Arabidopsis thaliana: one gene and its partner. The protein of the gene in region 1 interacts with the protein of each later gene in a pairwise test. Each region holds a gene or a part of one and is shown on either strand. Other genes may lie near its edges. The genes, in order: ATCSLC08 and AT3G05640.

Region 1 (5,729 bases):
AGGTAGAGCCTTTCATTTTTCTTGACAAGAAGAATATATATCCTATTGCAGAGTTTGTGAATTTTCTAGGACTGTATTAAGCGAAGGAGCTTTAACAGATTACGATATCTGGTATTGGTGCAGGGTTCAGCCCAGACCATCAAATCTTAGATCCGAAGAAAGTCAAGATGAGAAGAAAACAGATACATTGAACACAGAATCTAACCAAGATGGCTCTGTTGAGAGTTCCGGGGTGGGAACAAATGACACAAGTGTGTCCTCGCTGTGTAACGGCATCATCTCACATTCAGAAGACCCTGAATACGAAAAAGAATCATCATTGTCAGCATCCGTACCAGTCTCTGAAGAAGGAAAGGAAGTTGACGTAAAGGTTGATACAGTAGATTCTGAATCAAACCGTTCTATTGACATGGAACATGATTCTGGAACAGATCATCAAGAAGAAGAAGCAAATGGGAAAGAAGATCCAACGGTTGAAAATCTGGCTGTTGATTCTTCTTGTTTGGACATTACTACTCCATCTCCATCTGCTGCTACAGAGTTCATACCTCAGGAGAACGAACGTTCAGACACCGAGTCCAAACCTCTGGAGAAAGAACATTCAGACACCGAGTCCAACAAACCGCTGGAGAAAGAACATTTAGACAGCGAGTCCAAACCCCTGGAGAAAGAACATTCAGACACCGAGATGATCGATGCTCAATGATTCTAAAGGGATGGTGGTGGAATCACAAACATTTTTCATGGCTCTTGAAAATCAACAAGGGCGCTTCTAACTTAACAATAATGCTGCAAAAAAATTGCTTTAGACACTGCAATTTCTGGTGTCTGAAGGATATATAGAATTTGTTGGATCCTGGAGTTTTCCATATCTAGAAGAAATTTTTAGGGTTCGTACTGGTGAGAACTATAGAGCTTACAAAGCCAGGATTGGTACTTTATTAGTCATATGAGATAGAAACTTCAGGATCGGTTAAGTTATTCTTTTGATTTTTATTTCTCTGTTAAAATACAATTGAACCCAAAAGCTCTCATAGCTTGAAAGACTAATGGAGGACCACATTGTCAACTTTGTGGTTGATTCAAGTTATTTTGTTTGTTTGTTCGGCTAGTTTTATATAGTACTTAATGTGGGAAAATGTGCATAACGAGCCGAACAAGTTAAGAACAAATGAAAAAAATGTTGAAAGAGAATTTAAACTTTTACGGTAACCTCAACTTTGAAGTCATTTTTAATCACTTTCAATCACAAAAGCATATTTTCCAAATAGAACTATCATTGTCGATGATAACTTGGTAATACCAATACTAATTCAATCTTATAACTATTAAGACTTTGAATAGTAGAAACAAAATAAACGCGGCAAAACATGCATAATGAGCGAAACGGTAAGGTTATATCGTCTCTTAACTAAATCTTTCAATCATCAATCTGAATGACGAAAAAAATATGTTTTCCAAGTAGAATGATCATGGTCGATAATACACATATTTGTTTGTTATCTCTTTATGTGATTTGGGGCCTTTTGCCCATTTGATGAAGAGTTAAGTTTGTGAATATGTGTGTTTATCAGCTACATAAAATGTAAACAGAGATTAAATGCAATTGCCTATAACTAGATTTTTTTTTTCCATAATTGCAAAATCTTCTTATAAGTTCAAGTAAAATTGCTTTTAAAGCTTGTACCCTTTTTAGATTACTAGCCCATTATAATCAGCTAGTCACTACCATTTTGAATTTTTCTATCCATTGATTTCTTTTCCTCTTTACTAGCCTTTCTCTAAAAGTTGTTTTTCAAAAAAGCTACTCTATGAGAAAGATTCATGAAATGTTAAGCTTTCTTTTTGGAAAAAAGAGATGAATTTGGATGTTGAAGCCATCATTGAGGGTTAGCTGAAGAGGAAACATTCACATGAAAGTGTAAGGGATCTTACAACTTCTTTGATTCTTTTCTTCCTCTTCTCTCTCTCTTTTATCTCTACCATTGCCAAGTATCAATCTTTTCTCTCTCTCACTTGCCCAAACCACTCATTGTCTGTACTCTCTCTCGCAGGTCACTATTAATGACCCCTTTGAGCTGTTGCTGCTTCTCTGTCTGTTGTTTAAAAGTGGGTCTTTAGATATCCTAGTTCTTGGATCTGGGTTGTTCAAATTTCTTACAAAGTCTTGGTCTTTAACCTGAAGTCTGAAGATTTACTCACTCAAAGTCGCTACCTTTAGGTTTCTCAAGATGGGTTTAGCTTAAATCTTCCAACTTTGAGATTTGGGTCTTAAACTCTAATCAAGAGATTCAACTACTTCTTCTTCCAGATTTGGGTCTTGAGCTTTGAAATATGGCTCCAAGGTTTGATTTTTCAGATTTATGGGCCAAGGAAACAAGGAGAGGTACACCAGTAGTGGTGAAAATGGAGAATCCAAATTACTCAATAGTTGAAGTAGAGGAACCAGACTCTGCATTTCAACCAATGGAGAAGAGTAGAGGCAAGAACGCTAAGCAAGTGACTTGGGTTTTGCTTCTTAAAGCTCACAAAGCTGTTGGATGTCTCACTTGGGTCGCTACAGTGTTCTGGTCTCTTCTTGGTTCAGTCAAGAGACGGCTCAGTTTCACTCATCCACTAGGCTCTGAGAGACTTGGTAGAGACGGATGGCTTTTCTCAGCTATTAAGCTCTTCTTAGTTGCTTCATTAGCTATTCTTGCGTTTGAGTTAGTTGCTTATTACAGAGGATGGCATTACTTTAAAAACCCTAATTTACACATTCCTACAAGCAAACTTGAGATCCAGAGCTTGCTTCATCTGTTCTATGTCGGTTGGTTGAGTTTAAGAGCTGATTATATTGCTCCTCCAATCAAAGCTCTCTCAAAGTTTTGTATTGTACTGTTCCTTGTACAGTCTGTAGATCGTTTGATTCTTTGCTTAGGCTGTCTTTGGATCAAGTTTAAGAAGATTAAGCCGAGAATCGATGAAGAGCATTTTCGAAATGATGATTTTGAAGGATCAGGGTCTGAGTATCCAATGGTTCTTGTTCAGATACCAATGTGCAATGAGAGAGAGGTATGGTTAAACAAAGTATCAATCCTTTTACATGGTTATGTGCTTCATTGTTGAATTAGATTAATGAAGTTACATAAATGTCTAATCCTTGTTTAGGTATATGAGCAATCTATATCTGCTGTGTGTCAGCTTGACTGGCCAAAAGATCGACTGCTAGTTCAGGTTCTAGACGATTCAGATGATGAAAGCATCCAGGAGTTAATTAGAGATGAGGTTACTAAATGGAGCCAAAAGGGTGTCAACATTATTTACCGGCATCGTTTGGTTAGAACTGGTTACAAAGCTGGTAACCTCAAATCTGCAATGAGCTGTGATTATGTGGAAGCTTACGAGTTTGTTGCAATTTTCGATGCGGATTTCCAACCTAACTCGGATTTCCTTAAACTAACCGTGCCACATTTCAAGGTATGTAGATAGGTGGATTAGTAATTCTGTTTGGTTGTGTCATGAGAGTATGAGACAACCATTTTTGGTGAAGCATCTAACTTGTAAATGCCAATGTTATTTCAGGAGAAGCCTGAGTTAGGTCTGGTTCAGGCTAGGTGGGCGTTTGTGAACAAAGACGAGAACTTGTTGACCCGTCTTCAAAACATCAATCTGTGTTTTCATTTCGAGGTTGAGCAGCAGGTTAATGGGGTGTTCTTGAATTTCTTTGGTTTCAATGGAACTGCTGGAGTATGGAGAATTAAAGCCCTTGAGGAATCTGGAGGTTGGCTTGAAAGGACAACCGTCGAGGATATGGATATAGCTGTTCGGGCTCATCTTCATGGATGGAAATTCATATATCTTAACGATGTCAAGGTACGATTATATCGCGTGTTCTTGTCCAGTTTCATGAAGAGCCCTTAGTAAATTTGACTGAAGTAGAAACAATCTTTAGGTTCTTTGTGAAGTTCCTGAGTCATATGAAGCATACAAGAAGCAGCAACATCGATGGCACTCGGGACCAATGCAGCTATTTCGCTTGTGTCTGCGATCAATCTTGACCTCTAAGGTATATAAGAGCTATGGTTTTGCAATCATTTGATCATTCCAATGATTTTAATGGCTCTTTTGGTTTTCCCGTAGATTGCAATGTGGAAGAAAGCAAATCTGATACTACTATTCTTCCTTCTAAGGAAACTCATACTTCCTTTCTACTCCTTCACATTGTTCTGTGTAATCCTTCCAATCACCATGTTCGTTCCAGAAGCCGAGCTTCCTATTTGGGTCATCTGCTATGTACCGATATTCATGTCACTACTCAACATTCTTCCTGCTCCAAAGTCTTTCCCTTTCATTGTCCCTTACCTATTGTTTGAGAACACTATGTCGGTCACCAAGTTCAACGCGATGGTATCTGGATTATTCCAACTCGGTAGCTCTTACGAATGGATTGTAACAAAGAAAGCAGGAAGATCATCAGAGTCTGATCTTTTAGCTCTCACTGATAAAGAATCCGAGAAGATGCCAAACCAAATCCTAAGAGGAGTTTCAGACAGTGAGCTCTTGGAGATAAGCCAAGTTGAGGAACAGAAAAAACAACCGGTTTCCGTGAAGAAAACCAATAAGATATTCCACAAAGAGCTCGCGCTAGCTTTTCTTTTGCTCACTGCAGCAGTTAGGAGTCTTTTGGCCTCACAAGGAGTACATTTCTACTTCCTATTGTTCCAAGGTCTCACCTTTCTTCTTGTGGGTCTCGATCTCATAGGGGAGCAGATGAGTTAAGAAACCAAAGTAGAAGAAGAAGAAGAAGAAGGAGAAGAAGATAATGATGATTCAAGATTCAGTTAGCTCTGTGAGTTGACATCACCTATTACCGTTTGTTGTAGCCATAGTTTGTAGGCATTTATTGATTTTAGTTTTGATTGGTATCTTCTCTCCATTGTGATTATTCATTGGTAGGTTAGAGTTTAAGCCACACTTTATAACTATATACTAGATAAGGACCCGTCCGATGGAGGGGTTTATTTTCTTATAACTAAAATCAAATTTAGCAAAAATAATAATTAACAATGTTGTAAGTATTTTTGCAAAAAAAAAGAAAACAATGTTGTAAGTATAAATTATCTTTCAAAACTAAAAACAAATATATTTATTTTTATTGTTGTATTGTTTACTTCACCACTATAATTATTGATTAAAAAAATATTTGAATGAAAAATATATAATATAACAATAACTCAAATTATTTGAATGAAAATACATCACATAGCAATAACTTTTGGTATACTTATACAAAAACTAAAATTATAAAATATTCATAATAAAGTTGGTAAATCAAACCAAAATGGTATTAAATTAGGCACATTAAAAATATAAAGATGATAAAATTCCTTTAAATCATGACATATGATAAAATCTTTGATTGATAACTATTCATGATAAACGAAAAATATATCCTATTAATTATATAATAAGATATGTTTCCATAATAATATTTTTTTCTATCACCACCTCTATAACCATCAACAATCACCATCTTCACCAGCATAACAATCACATGTTACTCCTACATTTTATGTCACCTTGTTGGATATCTCTCTTAGGTAGTTAATATTTTAGTATTGATTTTTTATTTTTGGATTTCGTGTAACTAATATTTATTTCACTTTTTCTCTAAATTACAATACGTTGTTGTATGTTTGTCTTTTGTTTAAAGTTAGTTTATCTTTTATTCATTGCTATTTGTTTAT
Region 2 (5,470 bases), on another chromosome or scaffold:
CTCGAAACATTGGACTATTGGAGTTTCTCGTCATCCTCAAAGCAAGTTATTGGGAGGTGACTCAAAATCACGTTCTTGAAAAATTTTCCGAGTTAAAAAGTTAAACCTTTATTTAATTCTCCAATTTGATTTTCGTTTATATTTCTGGCTTTCGTCCTAATGAATATACACTAGATCTCACTTGTTTTTCTTCATGTACGTAATCATTTTTGGGGGTGGCACGACTAATCATTGCTTGAGTTGATCTTGATCCAAATCTTAGGAAGATAATGCGCAATTAATTGAATTTTCAACCAAAAAATGGACAAAAAGACTATCGCCTTGTAATGATTGCAATTATGATGCTTCTAGTCTTCTAGATACTGTATCAAGTATCAACTGGATAATAAACTATTTATCATTTTCTTACAACTAACAACCAATTAAAAGCCACTCAACATACTAACATTTCCATAGTCCACTCCAATGATTATTGATTATTATGATTAAGATCAGATGATGTTCTCTATGGATTAAAAAAAAAAAACTAGCAATAAAATAACAAGAAAAATGGTCATGTTGGGACTGGGTGGGAGTGGAACGAGAGGCCACGGCACACAAAGTCACAAAGAAAGTGTCATTATCCGGTGCACCGTCCCACATGCGATTGCTGGTAACCACGCGTCAATCAGACGAATGGCATGATCCTTTTTTAGATTGTGCTCGCTAACATGGACCCTACAAGGACCGAACTAATCAATGTGGTTCTCACGTGCCTCTTTTGCCAATTTTAACTTTTCTAACGAAAAAAATATTACTCTGAAACCTCCACATTCAATTGTGATATGACCGGCGTCTGGCCCTCAAACCGAAAGGCTCTCCTCTGAATCCTTTGTTGCTCTGTCCCACGTGCCAGAAATATCATCTTAAATATGGTGGTCTTTCGCAACCCTGAATGGCATTTGTGGTAATTAGTTCTAAATTACGTGAGACAATGCAAAGATTTTGTTTTGCACCATCGTTGCCGACCACATCAAACAGGTCATCGCTCTGGGTCCACTCACCGCTAGTCCGCTATACACTTGTGGGAAAAGGCTTCTTGTAGTACAGTTTCGTCACGGCGTCTTATTAATTGCAAATCTGTGACGTTACGGTTTTCGATTCGGGTTACTATTTTAATGGAAATCTTTTGATAATAGCTAGAGCCTAGAGTATGTAACCCTAAGGTTAGATGGTAATACCGAATCTACCTAAATTTTTGTTATTTTCGGTTTTTCATGAGATATATAGACTGCGTAATTTAAAATCTCAAAATTTGGTTTCACTTTATTTTTATTTTTTTTTAGTTTCGAGGTAGGTATACAAGCATGGACCTTTTGACATTATTTAAAATTTTCATAATTTAGAATCTTCATGTTAAACGTGTATGGCTACGATCTTCGGAACTTTATTCGGTTTGTATGCTCAAAGGCCAACGCCATTTATTTTCTAATTGATTTTTTCCCGTTACGGAAACAATCTTTTTGCATTATTGAACTTAATTACCAAAGTTTATGAAAAGAAACAATAAAGTCTAAATTGGCCTATTTTGATATACTGATCACTTACGCGAAAACATCTACATTGTTATCTACTAGACTAGTCATTAACTCGAAGATAGAATTTCATTTCTTGACCAAAAAAAAACTCAAAAGATAGTTATAATCACAGATTCATTATTGACTTTTGCTTTTAACACTGTAGCCATTTATGTACTATTTATACAAATACCTAACTTTTCAAATTTGTGATATTTTTCACCCTACATTTTAGCCTATAGGTTGGATCATTTTGTCATATTGCATCACTGTTTACTAGTACCAAACTTAAATATCACACGAGCAGTAAATTTGCTATCAATTTTTTCGTTTTCACAAACATATATCTAGTTTCCCTAACCAATAATTAAGTTAAATTGCATTAGGAATTTAGGATTTATAATAAATAGATATATAACCCACTAACGACAAAAGACTATGTCTTGCTACGTCTCTGCCTTTATTATCATGCCACAAGAAAATAAGAGGGGAACAGAGGGAGAACCCCATAAATAAATAAATTTAGAGAAATATCTAAGTTTGGTTCTTCCCTGTGTCTACCCACCGTGATCATCATAAAATGGATTGTGATTTCTGATTTGTGAGTCTATCTTTCTCTACTCCATTAGCTTCCTCTCCCTTGGATGGTTACGTCACTTTCTCCGAGCTTACGTCATCTATATCCGGTCTTCACTTCTTTTTCCTTCCATTCCTCAGCAGCATTGCGTAATCTATCTGGTGTGTGTGTATCACGTCACTTCCTCCTAGTCCCTCTCTCTGTACGTTCTTGTTGTGAAATTGATTTACTTTTTGAAAACATTTTTGGTGCAATTCAACAATATTTGTTTCACAGTTCTTATTTTATTTTTGTAGATTAAAAAGCTTAAATTTCAAAAACAAGAAAATCTTGTTTTCACAAAAATTAGGCAAAGGGTTTCCAATTTCCAGATTGTTTAACTTGATTTTCAATTTCCAATTTCCGAATCTTGCAACTTGATTTCTATAATGATAAGTTATCTCCAAATATGTTTTCTTAAAAGAGAAAACTCGATTTGACTTCAAGTTGAGATCATATCCATTATTATTCTCTATATTACGTACAAGTTATTATATATTTTATAACTCTAGAGGAATGTTAGAGCTTGTGTTAATGGAATTCCAAGTCAGATATGAATATTCTCTTATAATCATTATTGTCCTTATAACTGTTTTAAATACCTCAAATTTATATTTTATCCCCTGTTTTTTTCCCGGGAAAACGAATCTCAAAAAACGAATTTCCTACTTTGACATTATTTTATCTCCCTCTTGCTCTTTGATATAATGCAACTATCTGAAACTCTATGAATTTATCATTTACAGAGTTCAAGATCATATGATATTTTCACTTTCTGGACAAAATGGGACATTTCTCTTCCATGTTCAACGGTATAGCTAGATCCTTCTCGATCAAGAAAGCGAAGAACATCAACAGCAGCAAAAGCTACGCTAAGGAAGCCACAGATGAAATGGCGAGAGAGGCGAAGAAGAAGGAACTTATTTTGAGATCCTCTGGTTGCATTAATGCAGATGGATCTAATAACTTGGCTTCTGTTTTCTCTAGACGCGGTGAGAAAGGCGTTAATCAGGACTGTGCCATCGTCTGGGAGGTACATTACTTCTACAAAAAGTTATCTTAGAGCTGGGTTATTTGGAACTTTTGCAGTCTTTGGCGTTTACTTAGCACAATTCGCTTCGTGTGCGTGTGCCTCTAGCTTGTTTTGGATGCTCCTCTGTATCTAGGGTTATTATCACCAGTCCAAAGATCTTAAGTTTAACGCATTATATGCTTCTACCGTTGATTTTAAGTTATCCGATATTACGGTCTTTAAACACTGATTTGCGAATATTTGTTCATCATGTTTTGACAATTTCTGAAACAGGGATATGGGTGTCAAGAAGACATGATATTCTGTGGGATATTCGATGGACATGGTCCCTGGGGACACTTTGTTTCTAAACAAGTCAGAAACTCAATGCCTATATCTTTGCTCTGTAACTGGAAAGAGACTCTTTCTCAGACCACAATAGCAGAACCCGATAAAGAGCTACAGCGGTTTGCAATCTGGAAATACTCATTCCTCAAAACCTGTGAAGCTGTTGATCTGGAGCTTGAGCATCACCGAAAGATAGATTCTTTCAACAGCGGTACGACCGCTCTAACCATTGTGAGACAGGTAAATGGAGCATCAGATTCATTACCTCATATGAAGAAAATCTTGTAAAAAGGCTACTCTGTTCATTAATCCTTAAGTGGTTTCTTGCTACAGGGTGATGTTATTTATATAGCAAACGTCGGGGATTCACGTGCGGTATTGGCCACAGTTTCAGACGAAGGAAGCTTGGTCGCGGTTCAGCTCACCGTAGATTTCAAGCCAAACCTGCCTCGTTAGTTCCATAAGCATAAATAAATCATGTAAATCTCAGTGCATTTAGCTAAGCAGTTCTGAATCTTTATCTTTCAAATTTTGTTTCTTATTAAAACAGAGGAGGAAGAGCGGATAATCGGATGCAACGGGAGAGTATTTTGCCTTCAAGATGAGCCAGGGGTCCACCGTGTATGGCAACCAGTAGATGAATCTCCGGGGCTCGCAATGTCAAGAGCATTCGGAGACTATTGTATCAAAGATTACGGATTGGTCTCAGTGCCTGAAGTCACTCAGAGGCATATATCCATTAGAGACCAGTTTATAATCTTGGCCACTGATGGGGTAAGAACATTTGAATAAGCAACTTTGTTTTGTTAGTTTATATTGGCAGCGTAGTCATGTAATTGAAACATTATAGGTATGGGATGTGATATCAAACCAAGAGGCCATAGATATTGTTTCCTCGACGGCGGAGCGGGCAAAAGCTGCCAAGCGACTGGTACAGCAAGCAGTTAGGGCTTGGAATAGAAAGAGACGCGGAATCGCCATGGATGATATCTCTGCCGTGTGCCTCTTCTTCCATTCTTCATCGTCGTCGCCATCTCTATAGCAACATCTTCTCCATGCCACGACCTGCAAGTAGGTACTAGTACTTTTGGACCGGGCAAGAAAAGAAAAAATGCTGCAATGTAGATAGACTTGCGTAAAATCGCATTGAATATTACTTTCTTGCCAAACCAGAGTCCTATCACAATCTAAAGAACACAATTGGTTACTTGTAATTTTAATAATCATTTAAAAAGTGGGAAACTTCTTAAGTTATTATGAAACATGTGATGAGGAAACAAGCTTTTGGAACAAGAATCAAACATATATCAACTCCAAAGTTGTAAGAACATATCCGCAATTGAAGATGTATTGTACAGCTTGAGGCACATAAACATTATGATTTACAAGAAGTGTATACTATACACACACATACCTCTGCGAACCTAGGAAGCAATCAAATGAATTTCTTCTTTCTATATAACTAACATCTCTATACATAAGTAACGTGTGAGCTTAGGTACTCTATTAACTGATTAAAGAGAACTGGGCGTACAATAAATAGTGGTTAGTGGAAGACTTGAGGAGCAGTGTAGAACTCAGATTCGTTGAAACCTGGTCTGAGATCTTCTTGATCACACATGAACTGTAATGGGAAGCACACAAGGTTCCCTCTTGTCTCCTTCAGAATCTCCCACGAGTCGCTGCCGCATGATTCTAGCCTCTCCGGTGCAATGCCAAGGTCGATCGTAGTGTGACCCAACTTGTCTTTACAAAGAGCCATATTGTGTCTCAATGCAGCTCTGTGTTTAGAAAGACAAAGTCAGAAGCAGATTTGATCATCTCTCAGTTGCGTTTAAAAAGCCAACGTAGTTACGTATCTTTAATCACTAAAGTTATGGAGATTTAGTTAAAAAGGGATGACGTATGAACCTTGAGCGTATATGTTCATTCGGGATG

What was found.
Region 2: the proteins of ATCSLC08 (region 1) and AT3G05640 interact in a protein complementation assay, tested with the Arabidopsis thaliana proteins (one large-scale study listed by BioGRID).

The regions. Positions count from the first base shown.
Region 1 is NC_003071.7:10,470,590-10,476,318, reverse strand, and holds ATCSLC08 (Glycosyl transferase family 2 protein), read left to right. Parts: upstream 1-1,708; 5' UTR 1,709-1,921; exon of another isoform or gene 1,922-2,054; 5' UTR 2,055-2,334; coding exon 2,335-3,054; intron 3,055-3,150; coding exon 3,151-3,459; intron 3,460-3,564; coding exon 3,565-3,855; intron 3,856-3,934; coding exon 3,935-4,048; intron 4,049-4,122; coding exon 4,123-4,761; 3' UTR 4,762-5,123; downstream 5,124-5,729. Other genes in the region: UBP19 (ubiquitin-specific protease 19), read left to right, coding at 1-2, 124-706.
Region 2 is NC_003074.8:1,639,714-1,645,183, reverse strand, and holds AT3G05640 (Protein phosphatase 2C family protein), read left to right. Parts: upstream 1-1,930; 5' UTR 1,931-2,335; intron 2,336-2,918; 5' UTR 2,919-2,956; coding exon 2,957-3,205; intron 3,206-3,478; coding exon 3,479-3,772; intron 3,773-3,865; coding exon 3,866-3,983; intron 3,984-4,082; coding exon 4,083-4,306; intron 4,307-4,382; coding exon 4,383-4,574; 3' UTR 4,575-4,834; downstream 4,835-5,470. Other genes in the region: PLDP2 (phospholipase D P2), read right to left, coding at 5,079-5,313, 5,444-5,470.